Linked DNA regions of Mytilus edulis. The protein of the gene in region 1 purifies or fractionates together with the protein of each later gene. This does not show direct contact. Links are inferred from orthologs where the notes say so. Each region holds a gene or a part of one and is shown on either strand. Other genes may lie near its edges.

Region 1 (7,842 bases):
ACTAGTCTGAAGACCAATATTCTGACATTTTTCTTAATTGTCCAAACAAAGTTTTGCAAAAACTTACTAGTCCGAATGAAGTTTTAATGGACTAGTATATGTAGCTAACCGTGCAGACTGCTTTGTAACTACGTAAAAATTTCTAACCGGCAATGAAAATTTCATGTCAAAAATTATTAGGTGTCAAAAGTTCCCCCCAAAATTTGCTCTCAAACTCCAGACGTAAAACATGGCTTCAGCGTTATGGCGTCGTAGGAAGGTGTCCCAGAAAAAAAATTAAAATAGCCTTGCCAGACGTCATAATTATTTGGACTAGGTCATGTCATGATAGTAGCAACTTTTGGTTAGACAGTTTTCTAAAATGAATTGGTTGCTAGATTTAGATTATTCCGTTGAAAGATTACCAAGGATCAAACTAATAAACTAGCACTGAAGCAGGTAATGATGGTATTTCAGAAAATTTGCCAACCATAGGCATTAAACATATAAAGAAAACTACTGCAAAATTAATACTAGTACAATCAACAGGTCAGGAATAACCACCAATTGGTGGATTATTCCTCAATTGACGTATAATCCACCAATTGACATATAAAGATATAGACCAATTGGTGTATTTTTTTTTGTTTTTCAAAACAAATTATTTTACCAAAATGGAGCATTGTTTTCTTAAAACCATATTATGGTATGAAAACTTGTCAAACATTCCTAGTTTAGTATAGTGACATAACATATTGAATTTAATCAATAATTGTATTTGTAGTTTCTTCTATTGTTATCTTGTCAATTCTTGATTGGCAAATTTACCTGTAATCACCTGTCAATGTATGTATGTATGTATATATGTACTTCGAGATTCCACCAATTTAGACGCACCCCTTGATTGACTGCAAGGGTACAGCGGATCCATGTACACTCCCTAAGGATTAATGGAGATGTGTCCTTTACAATATTATCCTACCACCAGAACAATCCCCACCCAACACCGCCCCAAGGGAGAGTGTAGGACACAGGGAAGTCTGTTATTATGGTGGAGGAAGCCGAAGTACTCGGAAAGAAACACCGGGCCACTCGGTGGAAACACGACAAACCAGAGAGATATCAGAAGATTGATCTCCAGGTCAAAGTAGGGGACAACTTTGACCAACTGAGGCCCCCAAAGTACCCATTCTAGTTTAAACTCCAGTCTGGGTACCAGAGATGTGTGTGAGAGGGTCAGTGTTCCAGCTAGGCCGTTTTCAGAGGGCGCGGCGCCCGCCCTTTTCCGAGTGGCGCCCTGTGCCCTTTTTACAGTTTCCAGGGCGCCCTGCCTTTTGCATATTAATTTGCGTATTGATATGATACGCTAATTACTAAATTTTACCTGGGGAAAAGATTATGACTTTGTTTACCACCCCAAGCTAATCAATGGTTACAACTGGTGTCATAATCTGTTGTTATAGGTAATCCGTTTATCGGATGGGTCATTAATGATCATCAACATTAATTCGTTCAAATAGAATCGGTCAGTCGGCAATTATCTTTGAAGAAATGTGCATACAACAACTTGGGCACAATTTGCGATGTTTACCGTAGTTTCATGGAAGAAACGTAATGACAGAAAGTTGGAAAACCATTATAAACTCGTTGAAGACATTGTTTTACTTGTTTTCTGTAAAATAAACAGAAAATTCAGACGTATTTGCGATTGACTGCCTTCATTTTTGATACGAAAATAACAAAATCGGCCGCCATATTGTGATCATATTTACATCATATTTACGTACTGTTTATAATCCTCCAAAGAAGGAGCACACCCGAATAAAGAAAGATAACTCAATCTGATTTTTTTCCTAGCATTGAGTAACCCATTTACATATTCTAAAATGTGTCTCCATACTTCTTGCTTAAGAATATATATGTTTAGGTATTTATTTTGAGTTATGGGAAAAGTTAAAGAGGGTCTTAGTAGCAGTGTTGGTAGGGTGCCTTGGTCATCTTTTTCTGTATTCTTTATTTTTGATACTATTTTTCACTGTTGCTTTATATCCTAAAATTGTGAATTTCCTGAGCACAGCTGTTTTGTGCTGTATTGCTATCAAGCACAGCAGGGGTAGAAAGGTGAAACTGGTAAAATGTGGTAGACCATAGAAACAGTATGAAACAGATCTCCTTTCAAAACATACTGCATATAAAGTTCAACTGTGCCAAGCAATGATAAAAAAACTTGTGTGACAAGCTGCTTGACAAGTTTTTCAGCCTTAAAAGTAGAAAGATAGAGTTCTATATGGGCTAAAGATGTTGTTCTTGTATAACCTGTGATTCAACGAATAAACACAAATGTTTGATTAACATCTTTTATTAAAATATGCCCTTTTCATATTATCATATCGCGCGTTAAATGCCCTTTTTCAGGATTGACACCCTGCCCTTTTGAAAACCTAGCTGGAACACTGAGGGTGAAAATCACCCTTCTGATGTACTGATATTTTAAGCACCCAGACTGGACAAATGTTTCAACAAAAGAATTGTTGTACACATGCATTCTCAAGAGATGCAGCAGGCTTTGACAAAACTGAAACTTTCGGAGGACTCAAATTATAAGGGTCATAAAAATTATATGTTGCAAGTTGCAAAATCATGCTCCTTTCTCACACTAGCATTTTATTACAAAAAAATTGCATTATACGTCAATTGGTCTATACCAATATACCTCAATTGGTGGATTATACGTCAATTGAGGTATAATCCACCAATTGGTGGTTATTCCTGACCTGATCAAGGAAAATTTTGTATAGTCTTACTATACAAATCCTTGGTACAATTAAATATGTTATTTTGAGCTCACCTTGCTCCGCTTTGAAATAACGACGGGAGGAGATAATGTTGCAGCTTTTCTTTTCTTCATTGAAAAATTCCTAGAGGTTGGCATGTTGTTGATGTTTTCTCTACAAACCGCGTCAAAAAATTGTTATGAAACAGTTCCCGCCAGTACTTTCGGAATTTATTCGGAACATTATTTCGTCTTCTTCTTTCGTATCAATATCCCCAGAAAGGAACACCTCACACAGGGAAGGTCTATGAACAGGACAGATAAAACCAGGACAGTTATTTTCGATACGTTTTTATCTGTAACTTTCGTTTTACTCAACATATTGTTAAAATGTAAATTGTATAATAAAGAACAGGATATTTACTTATATTATCTGTAAAAGAAAATAAAAATAAAAAATAACTAAGTTAAAAAAAAATCTGCCAGGACAGTTTAATATTATGAAAAAAATGGCTGAAATTGCCGAGAAAAGTTTACTTATAAATGAAATATTTTCTCCAAAACAACTGTCTGGCATAATATTTTTGTACGATTATAAAGTTTATGGAATATTTATTCTAAAAATTTATGGTTTAATATTTTTTTTCATCTTTTAAAGGTAAAAAAATCTGCCAGGACAGTAGCCTTTCACGTTAGAAATTTTGTTGAAATTATTTCAAAATCAAAATATAAAATTAAATATCTTCTTCAAAATAAATGTCTGGTAAACAAATGTTACTATAAGAAAAAGATAGATTTAATAAACCAAGGATGTGAATAGTGTCTTACTATACATGTGTACTTTATTATGTGACTGTGTGAATTCTTTTTATTGCACTCAATATGTGACACTTTAATAAACAAATTATTCCGGCGAGTCATTTAATGTATAGCTATAATTAACTAAATGATTTTTGCGGATTCCGGAACTTTCAGTGAGATATAATAGATTTAAATTTGATTTTGAGTAACAAAAAGAAAGTTAACAAGAATTTCCAGCTGAAAATCTAACAGGATTTTGTCACCATGGTCACTTTATTTCAAACATCTAAATAAAAGGATCAACACCGATTGGGACTCTGATAACACTGAGTTAATTGTTAAAAAAAAATATGTATTTGCATACCCACAAGGTTAATCTTTTGTATTGGAAAAAGAATGACACATTTCTTAATTCAAACTGAAAAAAAAACTATAACTGGTAAAATATATATATATGGATTTTTTTTTATTGATTTCTGTATCATTGACATATGATTTCCAACCTAGAGGTGTTACAATGTATGTACGTCCGGTGACCGTGCACCCCACTGCATAAATTAAATATGATATACGTCTAACCTTTATACATTTGAATTATCATACATTTATATTATTATATACATCAGTTTTGTTTTTGGAAGATTTTGTAATTTTTAGAGAAAAAGAATGTTGTAAGAACTGCCCGGTGTTTTTTCCCCTCTTTTGAATACTCAAATTTTAATCAAATTCTGTTTTATGATTATTCAGATTATTAGTAGTTTAACATTAATACGATATATAAAATGTGCCACAAAACGAGGAACCACACGGTCTCCGTTCAATATTATAACCTAATTTAAAAAATAGTTTAACTGCCAAATCATTACATACATAAAGTATATCGCAATTAATCTATTATTGTAATATGTTTAATAAACTCTCTAGCCAATGTAGAAGAAAACACACACCAAGACGCACAGTAAAATGTGCCTGTCACGAACCTATAATTCAGTGGATGTCGTTTGTTGCTGTTTCACATATATTTTTTTTGTTTATTATTTTTGTATAAAAAACGTTAGTTTTTCTAGTTTTTCTTGTGTTTTTTATTCGTTATTTCGTGACATTGCGTTGTGGGTTTTGCTCATTGTTGAAGACTGTACGGTGACCTAAGTTGGTAACTCCGCGCCGTGACGTTGTCTTTTGGTCTTTTGTGGAGATGTGTCTATCTAATTGGAGAACATACCACTTCTCCTAACTTTTATATCATTCTGAAAGGAGGATAACCAAACACTAACACGTTTTAAGTTTAACACCGTTACATTTTGTAAGTGCGATCTAGTCCTAAGTCAGAAGGATGGGCAGTAATTCAGTGGTTGTCGGGTTTTTCAGTGTATCATGATATTTCTTTATTAATTTTTCATTTACTGTTTAGATTATTGATAAATAGAATGGCATTATTTTTCTTCATTTCAGTTTTCTCAATGGCAATCACAACACATCTTGATGAAGAAAACAATTTGTAAATTTGCAAGGTGGCTTAATTATGTGTGCTCGATTTAAGGATACCAACAAGTACTATAGTATGACCGCAAATCTACCAATTTTTAAAATTTAAAGAAATACGGCTAGTTTAGAAGTAACTACGCTTTAGAAAACAGATGTTGGCAATATTAACAGATTCGATACTTTAATTGACATGTATGACACGAATTAAAAAAAAAAGACTTAATCTGTTGTCCGCTATTCTAAATGCATTTATTTTTTAAATAATACACACAGGACAAGCCAATCTATACCTTGACATGATATAATATATTATGGATATATAATACAAATTTGTAGGACAAACTGCATACATGTTTTGATTAACCGACCTAAAGCCGAAAGGTCAAAATGAATTCGTACGAGAAGTTATCCCTAAATTTAGTATTCAGTTCATGTTACAGAGTGTTGTACACGTAAAACTGTGAAATGTCTTGACACAAACTCGGTGAAAAGTTATCAAAAGGTCAATCACATCAAACGAATGGAAAACAAGTGTCATACCCCAGACTTTAAACCTAATATGAATGTATATATATATGGTGTGCGCAAGTGTCAAAATATGTGTGCTATGTCAAGAACGGTAATTTATGTTCAGTAATATTTCAGTTATAATTATATTATCAAAACATGCATTAAAGGCCTTACGGTGACCTATAGTTGTTAATGTCCTTTTGGTCTCTTGTGGAGAGTTGTCTCATTGGCAATCGTGCCACGTCTTCTATTTTATATATAGTTTGTAATTCAGGAGTAAGGTTAGCAACTGCATTCCTGTTAGATAGTTAATTTACATTTCTTTAATCTTTAATCTTTCCAATTTAGATATTCAAGTCTTACAATGTTAATTATAACATAAAAGTCAAGCCTTTGCATGATTAATTTTAAAGTCAACACATGAATAATCAAGTTCATCAAATTAATAGCCAACATTTAAAAACTACAATTATTTCTATTCTGGCTATTCATTTATTTCTTGGAGACTTGTGCTAAAGTGTTTTCTAACAGAATCAAAATGTCTGGTAATTACAAAAACCACAAAGGTAAGTTTTTTTCAGGTTTTTTTCAGTTTTATTGTATCCAGGGACTTTCTATGCTAACTGGACTCGTCTCTATTGATTTTGACTGATTACTAAGCCGCCTGTTTAAAGCTACCACTCAACAATAAACTTAGTTTCGTATCTCTGATATACGAAGCTAGTAGTTATTTGCGTATTTCACAGTACATTGTAATGATATAATTATTATTAGTTTTTAATATAAATTGTTATAAGTGACCAGTCCCGTTAGTATAGAAAGTCCCTGTTGTATACCAAGGTAAATCTGAAACTGAACAATTAAAGTCAATCCATAGTTTTTTTTTCATAATTTCTATTATAAAACACTTTATCCCAGTTATCCCTCCTTTTATCTATGTTATCTCCCCTTATTTGGCAAAGTTGAAAAAAATGAATCAAAACAAACTTGGTGTTTATTTAAAAATTACAGTGGTAAATATGATAAAACACATAATTTTCTTTATTTACATCAAAAGTCTTACACGTGAATTACGTACCACTCTAGAAATTTGCACGTTTCATTACAGATCTAGACTAATCTGTAACTTCAAAATCCAAGATGAAGGAAGACATCCGAGCCCCCCCCCCCCCCCCATGAGGAAAAACCTTCTATTATTATTATCATAACGCATAAGTTGTATGTTTGAAAGGCACAATTATGTATAGATTATTTTAAATACAAGACAAATTCAATCAAATATTAAATTAATCATATCTCGAAAATTATATATTTTGACTTTTTTTCACTTTTTTAGTGACTGCTTTGTTTTAACATGTCCTGGTAGATACAAAAAGGCGTTTTACCTTGGTCAGTTGGTCAACACAATATCAAATGGAAAGCAAACACATTTACTTTAAACTTTAAATATTTTCCAGAACTCAACAGAGAAAATTGTTACGTTTTTTAACTAGAACAAGTGAGACAAAACTAAATGAATTGTCAGTCTATTGAAATTATTGTAACACTTTGTAAGTTTGTTTTATGCCGTAAATATATTTTATAATCGTCAGGGGTGGGTCCAGGTAAGGGCGTAATGGCGTACCTTTTCAATTTTTTTTTTAAATATCGTAATCTGCTAATATTGTATTGAATATGGCAATTTATCATATTCATTACTTAAACATATACTCTGATTTCTTTTTATACTGATTCCCCCATCCAATGGGTGACTTGGACACCTTTTTTCAACAATATAAATCTATACATGAAATGGTTGTTTTGTGTGACACTTCCCCAATGGCTATTCTACATCTACACGGGTCTGGGGGGGGGGGGGGGGGGGGGGGGGTACTCGCTATATATACTTATATGATACCGGGTATGTTCCGACAAACGGGGTTGCATTTTCAGCAAAATTGTCTGAATTTGGTTATGTTTTTTTCTCGCCTTGCATTGGAAGGGGCCAGATTTAACTATCTATAACGGGGTATTTTAAATATACAATGTTTACACTATTGTTTCACATAAGGGTGAATGTTTGGTACCATTAAAACGTTTAAACCCGCTGCAACTGTTTGCACCTTTCCTAAGTCAGGAATCTGATCTTCAGTAGTTTGTTGATGTGGTTTATAAGTGTTTCTCGTTTTACGTTTTTTATATAGATTAGACCGTTGGTTTTTCCCGTCTGAATGGTTTTACACTTTGTCTAGTAATTTTTTGGGACACTTTATAGCTGGCTGTTCGGTATAAACCAAGGCTCCGTACTGAAGACC
Region 2 (7,166 bases), on another chromosome or scaffold:
GCTAGTTTTTGCCCCTTTTTGGCCCTTACGACGACATCATACCATTATACGATCCCAAAAAATGTTTGAGTGGTCGTATTAAAAGAAAAGAAAAGCATGAAATATCTTGAATAACTTTAAGATAACATTAAATTTGATTGATTTGATTGTGTTTTAACGCCACTTTTAAGCATGGCTTTTGGATTATTTCATGGCAGCCAGTATTTAATGGCGAAGAAGTCGGAGTGCAGGAGAAAAACTCTTGCTGTCGATAGGGAAACTAAAAATCCTAGTCAATTAAGATTGAAGTCAAGTACACCCTCACAAGCAGGGTTCAAACCCACAAGCTCAGTGTTGACTGGCTAGTGATTTAATACAGTACAAGATCTACTCAAACCACTTGGCTATAGAGGCCCCTTGAATATGATAACATGTAAAAGCCTCAACATTTGCACAATAGTAACTACCAACATATTTAATTTTTCAAGAACAAAACTTACTTTTAGGGGTTTTCTTTTTGTGGAAAACAGTCTTTATTTTAAAGCTCTTTTAAATGTTTCAATTTTTATACCTTCAATTTTTTTTATATATAAAAGATGTCTCCCATTCTAAAGTCATGAAAGTGTAGAAATGTATTGGTCATTGATGCAAAAACTAGTTCAAATTCTAATGGCATTTTGAAGGGTTATTTAGTTTTTTAAACCTATGTCAGTTTGAGGGTTTTCACTTCGGATTTTTAAAGGAGAGTTCAGTTAAGTTTTTATTAAAAGAAATCTGTTGTTAATTCCCTGATGGTGGCCTGGCCCTACACTATACCGAATAGTAGTTTTTTGTACTATGATGATTTTGTGTCTCTGACTCTCATACATTTGTTAGATCAGATAGTTTATATAAGTTACATTTGTTTGTCATTATCTGTTGTTTATCAGCTCATGTACATGTAGGACAGTGGTAGTGGGCAGTGTGATAAACTGGTAGGTTGCTGACCTTAATCATTCCCACCCTTCCCACACTATTTCTTAGTTGTAACTTTAATCATTTTTACATAAATACTGTACAAATGTCTACTTACATCCATACTTGATCTCTCTTTTTAATCTGGAATAAACAACATATGCATGTTAATATTTGATATAAACAATAAATAACATACTTGAAAATATTTGATATGAACAAAAAACAACATACATTTCTTTGAACTTATAATTAGAAAGTTACACATGACATTGATTGCTTCCAGGAACCATTTAACTGAACCTTCTGCCAGTACTTGAGGGCTCTAACTGGATGAGAACAGCTGTGTAATACTTGTTTGAATATTATAGTTTAAAGTTAAAATGACATGTTTAAAGTGACCTATGTTTAACCCCTTGGTTTATCCTGCAAGCAGAACTTTTTAAAAGTGTGACAAACCAATTTTTACCCTATATCAAGTGAAGTGAATATTAATTCTTAAAAGAAGCAAAAACATTTTTTTTTTCAATTTTACTAATGAAAAGATATTTTTTAAACCTATGTGTTTAAAATTTTGGTAAAACAACGAAATCACAATTTGTGACAAAATTTCGAATTTGCTACCCAAATAAGTGATTTAAAAATCACTGATTCCAGTAAGTCCTCGGACTGTATGGATTTATATTATCCGAAAATTCAGGTTTGCCAAATTGTTCCGATCTTGATATTTCATACTCTTCAGAAGCAACGTATTTTGGAAGTTCAGGGAACCATTTTGAAATCAGTAAATATTTGCTCACTTCTATTGAAATTGTAACTTATTTTATCTTTTCTTCTGGATATTTCTATATCAATAAGCATGATAAGCACATAAAAGGTAAGAGATCCTGAACTACAAATGTTTGCAAAAAACTTCTAATCAGCAAAGAAGATTTAAATTTCTAGGTTGGACCAGAAAATATTTTTGAGACAAGTCGAGAGCGAGAGCGACAGTTCTGATTTGGCTACCAGGGTGTTCTGTCAGATCATGTTTTTGTTCGTCATATGAATTTGTACTATGCATGCTTTCAGTGGCGGATCCAGAAAATTTCATAAGAGGGGGCCCACTGACTGACCTAAAAGGGGGGGGGGGTTTTCCGCTCGGTAAACGGACAGAAAGTCACAGGACAAAAAGTCACAGGACATAAAGTCACAAATTTGATAGGACAAAAAGTCACAGGACAAAAAGTCACAAATAATTTGTTGACAATTTAAACAATATATTTTGATATGTTTTCTTTTTATTACATATATTCACATTTTAGTTAGGGAAATTGCTTATATTAAATTTTAATCACGAAAAGGATATATTTATTGGCAAAATGAAGCCATTTAAGTGCCAAGCCACTATTGACATTTTGTTTTCATAACAATCAAGACAATTATTTGATGATTATTGATATTTATTGAATACATTTTAACAACAAAGGTGCTTCATATATGATACTTCAAGAAAAATACAAAAAAAAATTATTCCAAAATAAGTTTTTTCATGTTCAAAGAAAAATTATCTCAAAACAGAATTGTGACTTTTTGTCCTGTGACTTTTTGTCCGTGACTTTTTGTCTGTGACTTTTTGTCCTGTGACTTTCTGTCCTACATTCTTCCGCTCCAGTCACGCATCAGTAATTCCCTATATATAAGCAACCAAATTTTTTCCGAAAAAGGGGTCCCCCCCCCTAAATCCGCCTCTGGCTTTTTCAATGGAAATTGTTACGTTACAATGCATTATCAATAGCACGATGGGGATACCCTTATAGTCTGTTAATCCAGTCTCCATGTCTTGCATAACCATCGTAACTATCTTACCACGTTAAAATCAAATCATACAGTATCCTAAGCTATGTCTCCAAGAAAAACTTTTGAGGTATATTGTGTGTATTTGTGTGCGTTTGAAAACTTAATAAAATTCTAGCGATCACCAGGTGTTTAAGTTTTACAATGTAAATAAGCTGATAATATATATATAAATCTGCTTGTCAGCCTTTCCCGCCATCTAGGATATTAACAGCCTGTATCCCGACCATTGGTAACCAGATTAGACAAACAGACATGAGCCAACTCGCCCCACGCATTAAACGTCATGTGATGTTTACTGTAGTGAACCAGGGACCAGGTACCCTGTACTTTCAAAATATAGATTAAAATATAAGTTCCCAGAATGAATTAACAAATATCTTATAAATTCTGACTAGTAAAAACCGTTAAAATGAATAATATATATAAAAAAACACACACATGTTAAAAGAACCTCGATATATAAGAAATTTCTGATGCTATTGCGAGCTTAAAATCATGCAACGCCAAGGACTGTGGACCTGATTTGATTTCAAATGAAATGTTAAAATATAGTCAGTCATATTTGATAGGTTGCTTATATAAATTATTTAATTTGTGCCTCAAGAATAGTGAGGGAGGGTAGGAAGGGTCCTGGTCCCGAATTCCCGGGCTTAAAAATACGAAATCCCGAAATCCCAGGCTTAAAAACACGAAATGATGTCTCTTGTAATAAATTACAGTCTTCCTTATTTAATCTTGAAAATATTTTTAAAAATCTTAAGTGTGAGAATCTCCATCTTAAATTTTCTAAATTTATACACATATATATATAAATGTACACAAAAGGAGTGTCAATTTTGCTGTATTATCAGAACTGGGGCGTTTCCCCTTACATTATGATATTGTAAAGTAAATTGTAAAATACTGGTATAGATTTGAAAATCTTACAACTGAATTCAGTCTAGTGAAAGATGCTTATAAATGCAGCCAAGAGCTTCACAAATCTATAGCTAGCATAACTTCTTGGTTCTCATTTGTTAAAAAAAAATATTAGAAGTTTTTGAAATTAAACAAGAAGTAAAACATTTCGGACAATATAAATTTTTGAACATATCTAGCAAATTAATTCACAGTAAATATATTAGCAAATGGTATGCTAGCCAAAATAAAGCTTCTGATGGAAAACTGTTTGATTATGTGAAATTTAAGCAGAATTTTGGTTATGAAAATTATCTTTCTTTAATTAAGAACTTTGATTTTAGAAGATCTATATGCAAATTACGTATTTCTGCTCATAAGCTTCAAATTGAAGTAGGTCGTTTTTCAAATATTCCACGAAATGAAAGAATTTGCAAAAAATGCTCCTCTGGCTGTGTTGAAGATGAAATCCATTTTTTAACTAACTGTGAAAATTTTAAATCAGACAGAGATGCTCTCTTTGACTTTGCTTGCCAAAGAATTCCAAATTTTTCTATACTTGATAATCAGCATAAATTTATTTATTTATTAAACTGTGAAGACAATCAGGTCCTTAATGCTGTTGGTAAACTTATTAAAGTGAATTGAGTTAGTAATTGTATTGTAACTGTATGTAAAAAAAATTGTTTATATCTATGTATCTATGCAAATCAATATTCTTTTTCCTTATTCGTGTATGCTCTGTATGCCCCTTGTGGACCCTAAATTGGAAATAAAATATGTTCTCTTCTATATATATGTTAGTACTTACAGTGAATTTGTATAGACCATTTGGGATTATATAGAATCACTGATTTTCAGTGATTATGTAGAATCGGTAAAATCATTAGTGATTATATATAATCCCTGAAAATTACCAGCCATTTTTAAAATATAATCACTGAACATTTTACTTATTATTTTACATATGATTTCAGGGAATATCACTAAAAAAAATCAAATGATAGACAAATTATTTTACATATGATTTCAGGGAATATCAATAAAAAAAATCAAATATAGACAAATTTGTTTTTCTTATTCTCTTATTCCTTGAAAGTTTAAGTGAACACTACCAGAGGCGGATTTAGGGGGGGGGGGGGCAGGGGGCCCGGGCCCGGCCCCCCTTTTTGGGGGAAAATTTGGTTGCTTATATAGGGAATCGTTGATGCGTGACTGGAGCGGCCCCTCTTAGGTCAGTCAATGGGCCCCCACTTATGTAAATTTCTGGATCTGCCACTGACCACTTACCGTTATTCGTTAAACTGTAATTTTCGGCTTCTATTAGCGTAAGTTAAAATATTGCCGTGATTCGTCAAAATATCCTTATAATGATTCGTCAGAAGTCGCACATAATTGTGCCTGCAAAATAGCAATTTTGCTATTATGACGACTCTGATTAAAATGTCCTTATTCAAGTCGGCAAAAAAGCATATTTCTCTAGAACTGGCTATTTTACAGGCACCTGCAATACAGTGATTTTTTTCTGCAGGTTCTATGTAAAGAGTAAATATTTACTTTTAAAAAGTACGTAGAAAATGTGCACTGTCATCATAAAGAATAAAATAATTACTTATATACTCACGGCCGACACTCGGCTAACCGAGAGATAGTCGGTTAATCTATATTGAGTATGCGGCTATATCGGCGGTTGGTCTGTTAATCGGGTTGGTTATACGTCTGTTAAGAGTAAAACGCACAATTTTAATATTGAAATCTATTTAATATACAGATTTTAGGTACATTATAAGAATCAAATCAAAAAAAGAAAAGTGTCTGACAAAATGATATATATCATAGAACATTTTCCAACTGTAAAAACGTTTCATAGTCTGCGCAGTTTTCAGTAAAACTAAAAGGCGTCGCGCAAGTATGTAGTATTTATGCTTATACGCATAGCAATTTTTGTAATGAAAGGCGAAAAAAACAATTTTAGATATCATTTAAAGGACACAAAATCGTACTTTGGTTCTAAAATATAAATTGAAATTAGTAAATATTTCATAATTGTAATATAACGTCAGTAATACCACATTTTAGTGAACATTATGGGAATAAAGTCTGTTAATGGGTTGGACAATTGAAATTGTGTCAGTTAAGAGTTATTTAGCCACGACAATAGTTGTGCTACCTTTATATTTTCCCTTTGAAAAAGTTAAGAATGAGATGCTCTTGAGTAAAAAAAATGACAATACGCTAGTAAGAACATTTTTATTTTGACTTCCTTTGCATTTTATTAAGGAGTGTGTCACTTCAATATATGGATATGGATTGCCTGCTGGAATATGCATGAATCTATTATTAACGTTTTCCTCAGCCTTAATTTTTGTGTCTGTTCAAAGTAGCACGTTTTCAAATCCGTCCGAAAGTGTCTTTCTAATACAACACAGGGTACATATAACGTGTTGTCGTTCTCATATGCACATGATATTTGTCACTGGACGTTAAACTCTAAATCGTCAACATCATTCGATTGGTTCTTTTCTTCTATTACTGAATCATCTGTTGTTTACAAATCAGTCTAAAGAAGTAAATGGAAAGGAGCGAATGCAGCTACATTTGGTTATCTTAAGTTTTAATTCATTTTATTCCGTTTAGTTCCTTTCTACATAAGTGCAGAGGAGAACTGCAGTTGTCCGCATGTAAACTTTCAGCATTTATTACCAATATGAGTACATAGCAATCCGTTACTGTTTCAACACCCAGGGAAGTTTCATGTCTTTATTCTCAAACAGTTATTATTTTTTTCTATCTTTTTTTTATTAATGCATCACTTCCTACTCTCCTTATCTATTATTCTATATTTTCTGTGTTTCCATCCAGATTCTCGTGTATACAATGAGGGTCCGGATTGGGGGTGTTGTTTATTTCTATATTCTTTAAATTGTCTGTTACTTTTCTCTACATTTTATTTTATCTTACTCATTATTATTTCTTTATTCTTTATATATTCTAGCATCCCAATATATTTTACTTACTGATGTTTAGTTACATTACGACGTTTATCTCTGATTTATATACTGGTTAATACCAATTTAGATACAAATTAGTGTCATTCATGACAACCTAAACAGAATCCACATGATATATGCGACCATTCTTGGATGAAATCAATATGTATAGATTATAACATGCCCTTTTCTATATTAACCCTGGTATCATCCCGAGACTCCCATATCGGCCTCGAGGCTTTATCCGAGGGCCGATATGGATCGAGGGATGATACCAGGGCAAATATGGAAAAACATGTTATAATCTTTAAGCTTTTTATCACATATTTAAGTGTTGCAGAAAAGAGGGGAAAAAAGTTCAATTATAACAATTTAATGAAACATAAAAGGTAAATCTTAAAAATGTATCCGTATCCATAACAAATATGTGATAAGATATAAAAAACACATAGCTGAGAGGGTGATAGAGCAGATTGGGTCCCGAGAAAACATTGTCAACCGCGGCGA

Evidence for each region.
Region 2: the proteins of WD repeat-containing protein 76-like (region 1) and lymphocyte-specific helicase-like purify together in Homo sapiens (affinity purification with mass spectrometry; 4 studies listed by BioGRID and IntAct, counting the BioPlex papers as one, with this or other methods). This does not show direct contact. The link is inferred for Mytilus edulis from reciprocal best matches to the Homo sapiens genes WDR76 and HELLS.

The regions. Positions count from the first base shown.
Region 1 is NC_092350.1:66,305,071-66,312,912, reverse strand, and holds the start of WD repeat-containing protein 76-like, read right to left. Parts: upstream 3,006-7,842; 5' UTR 2,912-3,005; coding exon 2,828-2,911; intron 1-2,827. Other genes in the region: uncharacterized protein, read left to right, coding at 6,087-6,114. UniProt on the Homo sapiens protein: Specifically binds 5-hydroxymethylcytosine (5hmC), suggesting that it acts as a specific reader of 5hmC.
Region 2 is NC_092357.1:53,594,296-53,601,461, reverse strand, and holds the start of lymphocyte-specific helicase-like, read right to left. Parts: upstream 3,013-7,166; 5' UTR 2,782-3,012; exon of another isoform or gene 2,725-2,781; intron 1,078-2,724; 5' UTR 1,058-1,077; coding exon 1,052-1,057; intron 1-1,051. UniProt on the Homo sapiens protein: Plays an essential role in normal development and survival. Involved in regulation of the expansion or survival of lymphoid cells. Required for de novo or maintenance DNA methylation. May control silencing of the imprinted CDKN1C gene through DNA methylation.